2 linked regions of the Arabidopsis thaliana genome follow. The protein of the gene in region 1 interacts with the protein of each later gene in a biochemical or structural test. Each region holds a gene or a part of one and is shown on either strand. Other genes may lie near its edges. The genes, in order: RPS5 and FLS2.

The links.
Region 2: the proteins of RPS5 (region 1) and FLS2 form a complex in vitro, tested with the Arabidopsis thaliana proteins (one study listed by BioGRID).

Annotation. Positions count from the first base shown.
Region 1 is NC_003070.9:4,142,215-4,148,547, reverse strand, and holds RPS5 (Disease resistance protein (CC-NBS-LRR class) family), read right to left. Parts: upstream 4,292-6,333; 5' UTR 3,915-4,291; intron 3,761-3,914; exon of another isoform or gene 3,540-3,760; 5' UTR 3,538-3,539; coding exon 868-3,537; 3' UTR 634-867; downstream 1-633. Other genes in the region: AT1G12230 (Aldolase superfamily protein), read right to left, coding at 213-354, 445-498; AT1G12211 (uncharacterized protein), read left to right, coding at 4,434-4,682; RFL1 (RPS5-like 1), read right to left, coding at 4,943-6,333.
Region 2 is NC_003076.8:18,789,688-18,796,522, reverse strand, and holds FLS2 (Leucine-rich receptor-like protein kinase family protein), read right to left. Parts: upstream 4,949-6,835; 5' UTR 4,722-4,948; coding exon 1,583-4,721; intron 1,499-1,582; coding exon 1,116-1,498; 3' UTR 615-1,115; downstream 1-614. Other genes in the region: RWA1 (O-acetyltransferase family protein), read left to right, coding at 7-162.

The sequences.
Region 1 (6,333 bases):
GTCCTGAACTAAGAAAGGTAAACCAAAAATAGCAACTTTGTCAAGCATAGTTTCCTAACAAGTGACTCAAGACAGTATAAAAACAAACCCACATAAAAAGAAAGCTTGAATCGTAGTCAATCTTTCAAAAACCCATACTTTTGTTTTGTCTTTCCAGAAATCGTATTTATTAATTAATGAGAAACACGATCATCAAAGATATAAACAAATACCAGCTTCGAGAGACGAAGACGCAGGAGAGGAGGAGGAACTAGCGGAAGCAAGAATCCGAGGAATCGATCGCCGAAGACTGAAGTTAACGGCGGGAAGAGGAGTAACGGAGAATCCGGCGGCGAGCGTCTTCCATCGTCCCTTCTGCGAAGTTCAAAGCTCGCATCCATTAGATAAAAAACAAACAATGCACAAATACATGCGATTGAAAGAAGTAAGCGAAGAGGAGAGTACTCGGATTGAAGCAGAGAGAGTTGCACAAGGCGGAGATTGCAACGAGAGTGGCATTTTTTTCGCTGAAGTTGATCTGAGTAAGCAGATCCAGCCGTTGATATCTTCCAATTAACGTGGGTCCCGCCTTTTCTAATTTATCCGAAAACTGTCAACGAGATAAGACAGTTAATTATTATTTTATTACAATGGTTAGGAACTTGCAAGTTTTTATTCATTTTCTCATGAGTCTCTGTGTAATGTTTCTATGAAGCCGAAACAAACACTCATCGTTTAGAGAAAGAGATAAGTACAAATCCAATGATCACTAACCAAAAGAACGATGAGAACGGTTATGCAAACAAGAAGAGACAAGGAAGAGATTTACACACCGGCAAATGTCTTTAGACCATGACAACAAAAGTTTGTAGAAGAAAGTGAAGTTCATTATGTTTCTCTCCACCGCCACCTGGATGAAGGTAAGAAACGGAGTTGAGTTGCTTGGTCCTCCCATTCAACCCTTTCTATCCATTCTCTCTCTCCATAATATATGACAAGTTCTTCACCCGCGATCCCACTTTTAGAATCCAATGGAAGCTTTCTCAGCTTTTCACATTTTTCTACGTGGATAACTTTCAGACACGGAAAATGCAGAGCCTTTGCATAGATTCTCTTGAGCCCGCGTAATTCAAACAGGTGTAGTGTCTCCAATTTCCTAAAAGGAACAATCGTAGCTGAATGCTCCTCAGCTTTCTCTTCACTAATTATATCCTCTACTTCCTTTGAGAACCCAACTTCAAGAAAAGTAAGATTAGGAGCAAACAAAAGCCACGTCAAATCCTTAAGACCATGGCATTTAGCTATAAAGACTCTGGAGAGGTTTGAGAAGCATGGAGTTGTGGGACTTTTGTTCCGAGACGATGATGAAGTTGTCCTCTCTATCTTTATCTCCCTCATTCCACATCTTTTTATCCCGAGCTTGCGGAGATTACCCATGGTTGGCAAAGTCAATACTCTCACTGATTCTTCCTTAAGGTACTTAAAATCTACCTCTTTTATACATTCCACCAACCTTTGAGAGCATAACAATGGCTCTGCAACCAAACTTGATGATATATCTAGGGTTATAACTTCTAGATGTTCTAAGAGCTGCAGCTCCTTCACTAAACTCATATCTAGCAACAGTCTGGAATCTCGTAGTCCCAATGTCCTCAAATTCCACAAATTTGATATCCCTAATATACTCCCAAGACTGCTCATGTGTTCGAGATTCAGATGTATTAGCTTTTTCAATGTCCATAAACCAACGGGTAGTTGATGTATACATGTATATGACAAGTTGAAATATCTCAAAGAGGCCAGCTCTGATATTTCTTCTGGTAATTCATTAAGACTCTGATTCTCTGATAGATCTAAAACCACCAGATGAGGCATACATCGAAAGAATTCAGCCGAGATCTTTACCACGTCGTTCTTTTGGAGAAATAGAGTTGTAAGTGCAGCACACTCGTGACTGTCAAATATCTCTTCAATCTCATTATTCATCAAAGAAATCTTTCTCACAGTGTTCCAATCCTTGACTTTTGGTACTTCACGTAACCCAACACCAGCTCGCACAATACATTTCTCCTTTTGCTTCCCAAGATCGGATGATATCCATAGAGCCATCTCACGAACCACATCATGCATTTTCACGTTTGATTTGTTCCTTTCTTCCTCCAACAACAAACATGCACGGACAAGGGTACCAATTATCTCATAACCTTGGTTAATATTCCTCTCTCTGCCTTCTTTTTCATTTATGAATCCCTCACTTATCCAGTAGTCTACCAACCCCTCTTTATCAATAAGATAGTCTTCAGGAAACAGAGAGCAATAGAGGAAGCAGGATTTCATCAGCTCCCCATTTAAATTATCATAGCTATACTTCAAAACATGGAGAATTTCATCTTCCATACCTGAAAAATCTATGGCAGATGATGTTAAAACGTCAATGGCATGACACCATTCATGTACTGTTCTTTTGCATGCCATAGCTTCACCGATAACATTGAGTGCTAATGGTAGGCCACGACATTTCCTAGCGACTTTTCTAGCAAGTCCGGGAATGTCTGGGTGACTTCCCAGTGTATTTTTCCCAACCTTCATTTGAAACAAATCCCAAGATTCTTCGGGTTGTAGACAGCTAACTTCCATCGGATCATCAACCCCCATGCGCCCACACACATCTCGAGAACGAGTAGTGAATGCTACCTTGCATCCGTTATCTTTGCTTGGATACGGGACTCCAACCGCTTTTAAATTCACTTTCTCCCATATGTCATCCAACAATAAAACAAACTTTCGTCTCCTAAGGACATTGTGGATGTCAACGGCTATCTGGTTATCGTTTTTCTCGCTCCACTCCATTCCCCCAAGGCCTACCTTTTCTGCTATGTCTCTTTGTATCTTACGGACTGTTGAACTTCTAGACACAACAACCCATATCACAACATCAAATCTGTCATCTATTTTAGAAAACTTATTGTTGATCTTCGTGAGTAGTGTCGTTTTGCCTACTCCCCCCATACCGTACAGACCCAAAATCCCGGATCCATCTTCCATGAGACGGTTCCATGCCTTTTCAAGCATTATCTCCTGACCAACAATTGTGGGTTGAAAAGGGATCTCATCCACATCAGCAAACGGAGTTGCCTCAGAAACCACATCAAAGAATCCTTGAGAACTGAGACTCTCAACTTCCTTCAACATCATGATAACTCTTTTCCCATAACGATAGCTCAATTTCAAATCTTTGGAGCAGAAACCACAAAGACACAACCTTTGAAGCTCAACTTCATTACTACGAAGCAGATCATTAAACTGGTTTTGAATGATTAGGACACTAGTAAGCCATACCTGAACTTGGGAAAGCCTTTGTTGACGCCCTGTAAACTCTTCTGTTTCCAACCTTCTTATCACATCATATTGCCGAGCCTTGAGCATTCGCATGGCCTTCTGCAGAGAAGCCAGATTCTTGGAGAGATTGTGAATATAACTTCCCCTGACACATAACAACTGAGAGAACTGACTCACTACTTGATCACATGGCAATGAAACAGAGAAACAACCTCCCATCTCTGCACAATCAAGGAAAAGAGAGAGAGTGAGAGAGAGAGATTCACAGATTAGGTAGAGAAGAGGAATAGATAAGAAAGGAAAAGTCTATGTCACTATATGCATAATATAAAATCTCTAAGACTAGTCAATGTATAGTAAAAACGTAAACTTTGAAACAATCCAAAGATGTCAGTATGTCATCACTACGTTGACTAATCTCTAATAGACAAACAAAAAAGCTAAGAATCATCTCAAAGAACATTTAAGGGTTTATGGTTCTGTAGAATTGCAATCATCTTGAACTCAGATCAACGAAGGAACTTACTAAACTCACAAAAATAACATTTAAATTTTCCATAGAGAAATAGTTTTTCACTTGAGAAAGGAACACTTACAAAAAAAAATCTCCACAGAGACAATTCATCAAACAAGTGGTGTGCACACTGGAATTGATCACATAGGGTAATAAAAAATAGGCTGACGAACCAAATTGAGAAATCAAAATCAACTCATCATACTAGCATACTTGTCTTCTTCTATCTTATACTTGAGGAAACAGAGAGAGAACACTATTAAGGAACATATTTTCACATTCTTCCCACTTAAAATACAATCCTAGCTACATTACAATGAACACTCACAATCCAAACATACAACTAAACTGGAGTTGTTGTTAGAAGTTTGATGTGCAAGTCATGTTGACAGATGAAGCAAAAAGCAGAGTAACAGAACAAAACCAACGACACTTTTTTGAGGTTTAAGGGGTCAAGATTTCGATTCCGTACGGCTAAAAGATTAATTGACAAACCAAACCGAAGTTGGGCCGTGGAATAATAGAAAAAAAGTTAGGCCCAAATGACATATATAAATATATATATATAGCTAGGGTTTAGGAGGCAAAGGACAAAAGAATCATGGGGAAGAATCATCATCCCTTGGGCCGGAGGGGCGGGTGGGGCGGGTGGGGCGGGTGTTTCGGGCCTATGACAACATCGAAACGTAATGTTTACGCTGGAAGAAAATTCAGTACGTGTGCGAGACTTTATAATTTGAAGGGATCGGATCACTCTGATCAATTTCATATTCAGGTTATTCACTTAATCTTTGCAATTGAGAAATATTTCTGTCATCTAGGCTTTTATTTATTGAATTCATTGATTTGATTATTCTTAATTACAACTTGTGTTATTATATATTACAGGAAAAGTTGTCGGAGATTAGCTAAGGATTCGATTCCTCCGCTACGAGCCCTAAGCGTAAAGAAGAAGAAACTCTTGATGATAATCCACCTCAAGATGTCATCTACCTCAGTAGACGGAGCTGTCTCAACCACCACATCAAACTCTACTTAAGAGAACTGAGACTCATAATATTCCTTCACATCACAAGAACCATTTTCCCATTTTTTGGGTCATGGGGCTCCTCAACGCAGCCTACAAGTAGGTAAGAAACGGTATTGTGTCGCTTCGTCCTCCCATTCAACTCTTTCTATCCATTTTTTCTCCTTGTATTTTATGACAAATTCTTCAACTTTGACAACACTTTTAGAATCCAGCGGAAGCTTTCTCAGCTTCGGACAATTGTTTAGTATGTCAAGACATCTCAAACGCTGAAAAGGCAGAGCATTCCAGTAGATGCTCTTCAGCTCAGACAACTGATACAAGTTCAGGCATTCTAGTTTCTGGAAAGGAAGAATCTCCTTTTCTAAAACACTTGCAGCTTTCTCTTTGCTTATTATATCCTCCAGATGCTTACACCCCCAAACGCGAAGATTGATCAGGTTTGGAGCAAACAGCAGCCACGTCAAATCCTTTAAACCATCACACCCTTCTATTCGCACATTAGAGAGGTTTGAGAAGTTGGGATTTGTTAGATTTTTTTTCCATGGTGTCTTCTCTATCATTATCTCCCACATCCAACAGTTCCATATGGAGATGTAACACAGATTATGTATAGCTGGCAAAACTAATACTCCTACGGATTCCTCCGGACGCTCCCAATGGTCCCTAATATAAATGTGTTGAATACATCTCCCAACTCTGGGATAACAGAACAATTCCCCAACCAAACCTGACGAGATATCTGTGGTTATGAGTTCTAAATGTTCTAAGAGCTGTAGTTCTTTCATAAGCCCCGTATCTAGTGTCGTTTTTGAATCTCTTAGTCTCAATGTTCTCAAACTTGACAAATATGATATCCCTGAAATGCTCTCAAGTCTCCTCGTCCTTTCCAGTTTCAAATGTACTAGCTTTCTCAACTCGTGTAAACCATGAGGTAGTCGCTCTATATATGTCCCGGACAAATCAAGATACTGCAAGGACACCAACTCTGATATTTCTTCTGGCAGTTCACTAAGACTGTGATTTTCTGATAGATCCAAAACAGCTAGACTAGGCATACACCGAAAGAATTCCATTGAGATGTCTACCAACTTGTAGTTATTCTGAAGGAACAGAGTTATAAGTTCAACGCATTCGGGACTGCCAAGTATCTTTTCAAAATTGTTATTCATTAGCGACATCCTTTTCACAGCTCTCCAGTTCTCGACTTCAGGTAGTTCATCTAATCCAATGCCGGCTTGCACAATACATCTCTCTTTATGCTTTCCAAGATCAGAAAATATCCACAGAGCCATCTCACGAACCATATCATGCATACTCACGACATCTTTATCCTTTGCTCCCTCCAACAATAAAGATGAACGGACAAGAGTACCGAGTATATCATAACCTTGGTTGAATGCTTTTTCTCTACCTTGCTTTTCTTTTATGAATCCCTCACAAATCCAGTATTCAATAAGCATCTCTTTTCTGA
Region 2 (6,835 bases), on another chromosome or scaffold:
CGCCAGGTATCTCACCGTCTCTTTGAACTAACCAACACACTCAAGACGGTTTTCGTACCCACAAAAGACAACAAGCGACTCTTCTCTAACTTCATAGCTGGGATTGCCATCGCTCTTCCACTCTATTGCTTCTCATTCGTTCTTCTTCAGATTCATCGTTAGAAACCGTGAGTCCCCAAATCATTCTCATTGGCCATCCACTCATAAAAAATCTAACGAAAACTTTGTTGATTTCTGTCATTTACAGGCAAAAACAAGTGTTTGTTCTTTGTGTTTCTTCATTGTGGTCGCATCAAAGCAAAGGAAAATAAGTAAAAAGACAAGTTAGTTTTGTTGATCATTTTCTTGTGCACATTCAGCTTCAAAGGACGTTCACCAAAGGCAGAACCAAGAACCGCATAGACCAACATCGCTCAACTACTTTTCTCTATTGCCATACAAAAGCGAAGTAATTGTCTCCGATTTAAAGTTTTCAATTTTTTGTGCTATATTCTTTAGATTTTGTTTTGTAAGGATTAAGCAAACAATATGTAGTTCGTCCAAAAATGTATAGTGATGTTAAAGAATTATATGAAATTGCAAAGTTTTAAAGAAGAATTCATTCTCAACAGTCACTGACATGGTTTTCTATCAGTCTAGTCTTGCAATTTCTGCGGTTCGCTAGCCGAGAATGGAAAACATTACCCGGGGAGATGAAAATGTAATGACTCTAGTTTTCACAGCTATTACTTGGCAAGTCTACACAATTGTCTTGTGTGGCATTGATCTTTGAGTCATCTTCTGTGTTCTCGATAACCGTCGTGAGATTGCCTATTGTCCGATACTAGCAGTGGTATTGTTTCATGATTAAATGGAAGGGACAAACGTCATCTCCATCATGATGACAAAAACTTGACGAACCTTATTCCTGATCTGCCTGCAATAAGAAACTATAGTATCCATGTGTAGCCTAATGCATTTGTATATGAAAAAGTTCATCAAAACCAAATTTCAACCTTATATAAAACAGAAATACATAACGAAAAGCAAAATCAGAACGTTTTACGTCCAAAGTATTCAACCTTCGTAACAGAGTTTGGCAAAGTCGAAAAAATGTCATCAAAAAAGCTTTGCTGCTAAACTTCTCGATCCTCGTTACGATCTTCTCGAAATGAATTCGCTTTGCCTCTAAGTTTCATCAGATGTGTAAGAATCTCGTTCATATCAGGTCGATCTTCAGGTCTAGAGCTTGTACAGAACAAACAAAGCTTCAGAAAGTCTTCAATAGCCTCTTCCTGTTTCAGAGAAACAATAGAGTCCCCGAGTTCCATATCAAGAACCCTAACCATCCCTTTTCTTCCATTTCCAATCGATTTCTCCACCAATTGGCGCAAAGTCATGTCTTGTGAATCTTCATCATTCAACGAAGTTGGTCTCTGTTTCGTCATCAGCTCCATCATTATGATCCCGAAGCTGAATACATCGGCTTTTGTTGTCACTTTCCTCATATAAGCAAACTCTGTTCATGAAAAATAAGAGTGTATTTCAAGTAAGTCGATGGCATAATTAGGGTTTTGAAAATTAAGTGTTGTGAGTAATTTACCTGGAGCTAAGTATCCAATTGTACCCTCGAAGGCTGATGTTGAAGCTGTGGTGCTTCCATCTTCGCGGAAACCTAGAATCCGAGCAGTTCCAAAATCGCTTACGTGAGCAACGCGGTCACTGTCAAGGAGTATATTAGCTGGCTTCAGATCACAATGAACGATGGGAAAACCATATCCAGAATGAAGATAATCGATTCCGCTTGCGATATGAACACAAAGATCGATTTTTTCTAAAAGCGACCCAATCGGTGCTGCAGAGCCGTGAATGGTGTCCTCCAAGTTTCCATTCTCCATAAATGGAAGCACTAAAGCTTTCGTTTTGCCGCTTTCCCACGCAAACCCTAAGATCTTCACCAGGTTTCGATGTTTTAGTTGGCTCAATGTTTTAGCTTCTGTGTAGAACCACTTGTCTGATTCTGCAGAGAATTCCTTTAGATTCAATACTTTTACTGCAATCACTGTCCCATCTTCTAGCTGACCTTTGTACACTGTGCTTAAGCTGCTTGAGCCAATGATGTTGGCACTGTTGAATGAATCTGTTGCTTGCTCCAACTCTTTTGGTTCAAATCTCTTCAGTTTCAGAGCTGAATCCAAATCCGGTAATGAGGACTCTGATGAATTTTCAATCTTTTTTTCTTTTTTCTTGCAACAGGTTAGAATCAGAACAAGAAGCAGGACAAGAAGAAGAGCCGCGGCTGATCCAAGAATAATCAGGATGACTCTGGTTCTCTTCGAGAAGTGGCTCGACTTCTGCTTGATCGTACATGGCTTGAGAGGCTTCTTGCTACCACAGAGATCTGTGTTTCCCATTAGATCAGAGGCGTTGATGTTTTTGAACACCCCGGATTCAGGAACATGGCCTTTGAGGTTGTTTGAAGCTAGTTTGAGATGTTTCAGAGTCGAAAGATTGGCGAGACTCTCTGGAATTTCACCAGTGAGATTGTTACTAGAGAGATCCAAGGAGACCAAATGCGTCATGTTCCCGAAGCTCTGAGGGATTTCTCCAGAGAAACTGTTCCTTGAAAGGTTCAAGCTTATGATCATATCCATGCCTTGGAAGACTTCATCTGGTATATGACCCGAGAGATTGTTCTGCGAAAAATCCAGTGTGAACACATTTTTGCAGGCCTGTAAAGATCTTGGAATAGACCCAGAAAAGAGATTGTTTGAAAGGTCGATTTCTTGAACCATTTCAAGCTTTCCAAGCTCCTTTGGGATGGTTCCAGTCAACAAGTTGTTTGAGAAGTTGAGGTAAAGCTGCATGTTTTTCAAAGAAGCTAACAGCTCTCCAGGGATGGTTCCAGTGAGAAGATTGTCGGAGATATCGAATGTGTTGAGAAGCGAAAGCGACTTAAGGCTTGCAGGGATAGACCCGTTGAATTTGTTTCCTTGAAGACTCAAGTAGGTAAGCGATTCAAGCTTGGAGAACAAGGCAGGAATTTGACCTGAGAATTTGTTGTTGGAAAGATCAAGAACTGAGAGTAGCTTCATATCAAACATTTCTTCAGGAATTGGACCTTCAAGATCATTTGAATACATCCTTAGCCCCTGGAGGAGAGTGAGATTCGACATCTCTCTCGGGATTCTCCCTGTGAAACCATTAGAGTGAAGGTACAAGATATTCAAATCTTTCAGATTCCCGATTTCTCGAGGAATCGGTCCAGTGAGAGAGTTATATGAAACTTGCAAAATCCTGAGTTTTTGAAGCTTCCCAATTAATGGCTTGAGAGTTCCTGTTAAGTTGTTATCTGCCACACTAAGAGTTTCCAAGTTTGAACAGTTGAAGATATCATCTGGAATTTCACCGGTGAAATGATTCCTCCCAATAGAAATGAACGTAAGATTCATCCTTCCGAAACCCCGCGGGATCTCGCCAGTCATTTGGTTGTGAGACAGGTCCAGGAGTTTAAGACCGGTGCAGTTACTTATGCTGGAAGGTATTGGTCCGGTAAGAAGATTGTCGTGCGCTGAAAGGTTCCGAAGGTTTGTAAGAAGCCCTAGATCCGCCGGGAGCTCACCGGAAATATTATTGAACCCCACCGTTAGGACTGTCAAGTTCCTCAAGTTTGTGATGGACTGTGGAAACTCTCCTGTGAAGTTGTTGGAATGAAGTGTGAGGACTTCAAGTGACTCAAGAAAACCGATTTCTTCTGATATCGGTCCAACCAAATGGTTTTCTGATAACCCCAAATGGGTTAACTGAGTTAACCGGAACAATGAAGATGGAATTGAAGAAGTAAGTTTGTTCTTGTATATCCGGAGTGCTTGCAGCTGAACCAAATTCCCTAATTCAGCTGGTATTTTCCCGGTTAACTGGTTATCGTAAAGCTCAAGTTGGACCAAGCTCGAGCAGTTTCCGATCTCAGCTGGTATATCTCCTTCCAACAAGTTTTCAGTTAAAACGAGAGACTGTAAGTTCAAGAGATTTCCAAAATCTCTCGGTATTTTTCCGGTTAACTGGTTACCACTCAGGTCTAAATCCGTTAAATTAGCCAGAGTACCAATTGATACCGGAATCGAACCAGTTAAATGGTTACCAGCTGCTACAAACATTTGGAGATGAACCAAATCTCCTAAGCATTCTGGTATTTTCCCGGTTAAGTTGTTGTAATCAAACCCAATCAATACCAAAGAACTGGTTTTGCAGATTTCCTCAGGAACATCACCGGACAACAAATTATTTCTAAGATCAAGATAGAAAATATTCTTAAGCTCCCAGATTCCAGAAGGAATCGAACCAGAGAAATAGTTTAGGTACAGAATAAGCTGGTTAAGCTCGGTTAACTTTCCTATTTCAGCCGGTATTTTGCCGGTAAAACTATTTGAAGTGAGATCAAGAACCTGGAGATAGGTGAGATTCGCTATGGCTGGAGACAGAACACCTTCAAGTTGCTTCTCCAGCAAGGAAACCGAGACTACATGTCCGGTACTATCGCAGGTGATTCCGGTCCAATTACAGTGTCGTAACGAACCGATGATGGTCCAATCTGATAATACTCCTAAAGGGTCGTTGGAAATACCATTCTTGAAGGATTTCAAAGCTTCGATCTCTGGTTCAAAGCTCTGTTTCGCTAGTGCAATGCCAAAGAAGAAGAAGGTGAGAGTTAATATCAAAAAGGTCTTTGAGAGTAACTTCATGGTTTAGACTTTAGAAGAGTTGAAATTGTGGAGAAGATATTATGAGAGAATTAATTATCTGGATATAAATCTATAGACGAAGTCATATGTTTATATATAAGCATATGCCGCAAGAAGATATAGATTTGAGGGATCATGTCACGGATGTGAAAAGGCCAAGACGCAATATAAGTTTCACTATTCACATAATTGGTAATTCTGTCAAGTTGCATATAAAGGCACTAAATGTATTCCCACTTCATAGTCATGCACATGCTTATATGCTTGTATTATATATCATATTCATTTAATCTCACAATGTATGTACTATGTAAGCCATATTCATGGGACCAGAATATGTAGTGACTACTTACTTACTAGTTTGTGTTAGTATCATTTTCCATATCTTATTTATGTAGTTTTTTTCCGATTTAGTTTTGAGCGATTGATTGATAACATATACAAAGTAGTTTTGACAAGGCGAAATCACTTTAATCTGCCTCCAAACGTTCTAGTCAAACTCAGATATACCACTAGAATGAAAACAATATGTTCTAGTCGTTAATTTATATGATTTCTTATAGTATATAATACATATGAAACTCACATTCTAGCTGTTTTTATGCTAAAAACAAACAAAAATGGAGTTTGAGAAATGAAAAATAAAAACCTTTTTGTTATTGGTCAAAAGAGTAGCAATCGTTGAAACTGAAATGATTGGTACTCAACATAGTATTTGACTATTGATTAAATAACATAACAATTATCATATTTTTTTCTTTCTAAATATTTGGTTTTAGGTCTAATCAGTTTAATTCATTAACACGTCTTCAAAGCTCTGACTATCAAAAGCTCATTAGCTGTCTTGATGGAATTTGTTTTATCAACAAGTTGTGTTCTGTACAAACAATCTGCCAAACATTTTATTTATCTTTCAACAAAAAGCAAAACAAAATTCAATTTTTGTTCAGATAGAAATATTACTCCTATGATCACAATTCACAACTTCTTAATATATGATTTATGGCTTTTCACATTGGACAAATGAATGGAAAAAAATAGGCGATTTAAAATAAAAAGATTATATTTTTAAAAAAGATTATGGATTTTGTATTGACTAATGACTATTGAGGAATCTGGTCATATATGATATCAGTTGATTTGGACAACCTCATCTTGACCCATTAGTATTTCAAAATTTCCATTAATTAAAAACAAAAAAAAAAATCAATTTTGTCTTCAAGATGCATGCACTGTTCTTACTTGGAGTTGACCCATATAATTCCATATCATGTTTACTTGAAGACTTGAAAGTTGACCCGTTAGACAAATAATGAATATCATTAGGTTGGGTCAAAATATTTAGAATGTCCGAAAAGGGTTTATATTGATTTTAAAATAAAGATGAACAAAGGAGTCAAAGAAAAAAACAAATTGACAGCTGTGGGATTTGAACCCACGCCCTTTCGGACCAGAGCCTAAATCTGGCGCCTTAGACCACTCGGCCAAACTGTCACATTATTACATTAAGCATGTGATTGTATTTATACTAATGTTTTAATTATTGAAAAGAAATAATCCTCGTCTTGTTGTTTTTCTTTTTAATATTTCTTAGAGCAAAGTCTTTTGCGTTTTGACTATATCTTATGGACAATCATATAAAAGTTATTTTATTTCTTTGAATTATTCGTATCAGTTTTTTTAATAAAATGTGAATTTCTATTACCATAGGAACATTGTTCATATATAATAACTTTTATATGATTACCTATGGTAATAGACAAGTCTGCAAAGATATAAGGAGATTGCCCAAACCGAAGCATTATCATGTGCCAAATTTCCTTTGTAAAGAGACAATGTAGAAGTAAGTGATTCCTTGTTTCTTCACACAGAACTGTTACATTGCTCAATGATAGATTTAACATTTAAGATGTTAATAGCAAAAAGAAATTTTTTAAATGGGATGATTGATTAAGGTGCTCGCGAGAACAAAGTAGATTATATACAAGAAGTTTGATCACTACAAGTTATTATGATTTGTGACGGATTTTCACTACATAATATTACTTAACGATATATATCATATCTTTACATAATATAACAATGTTATTAAATACGGCTTAGGAGGTGGTTAG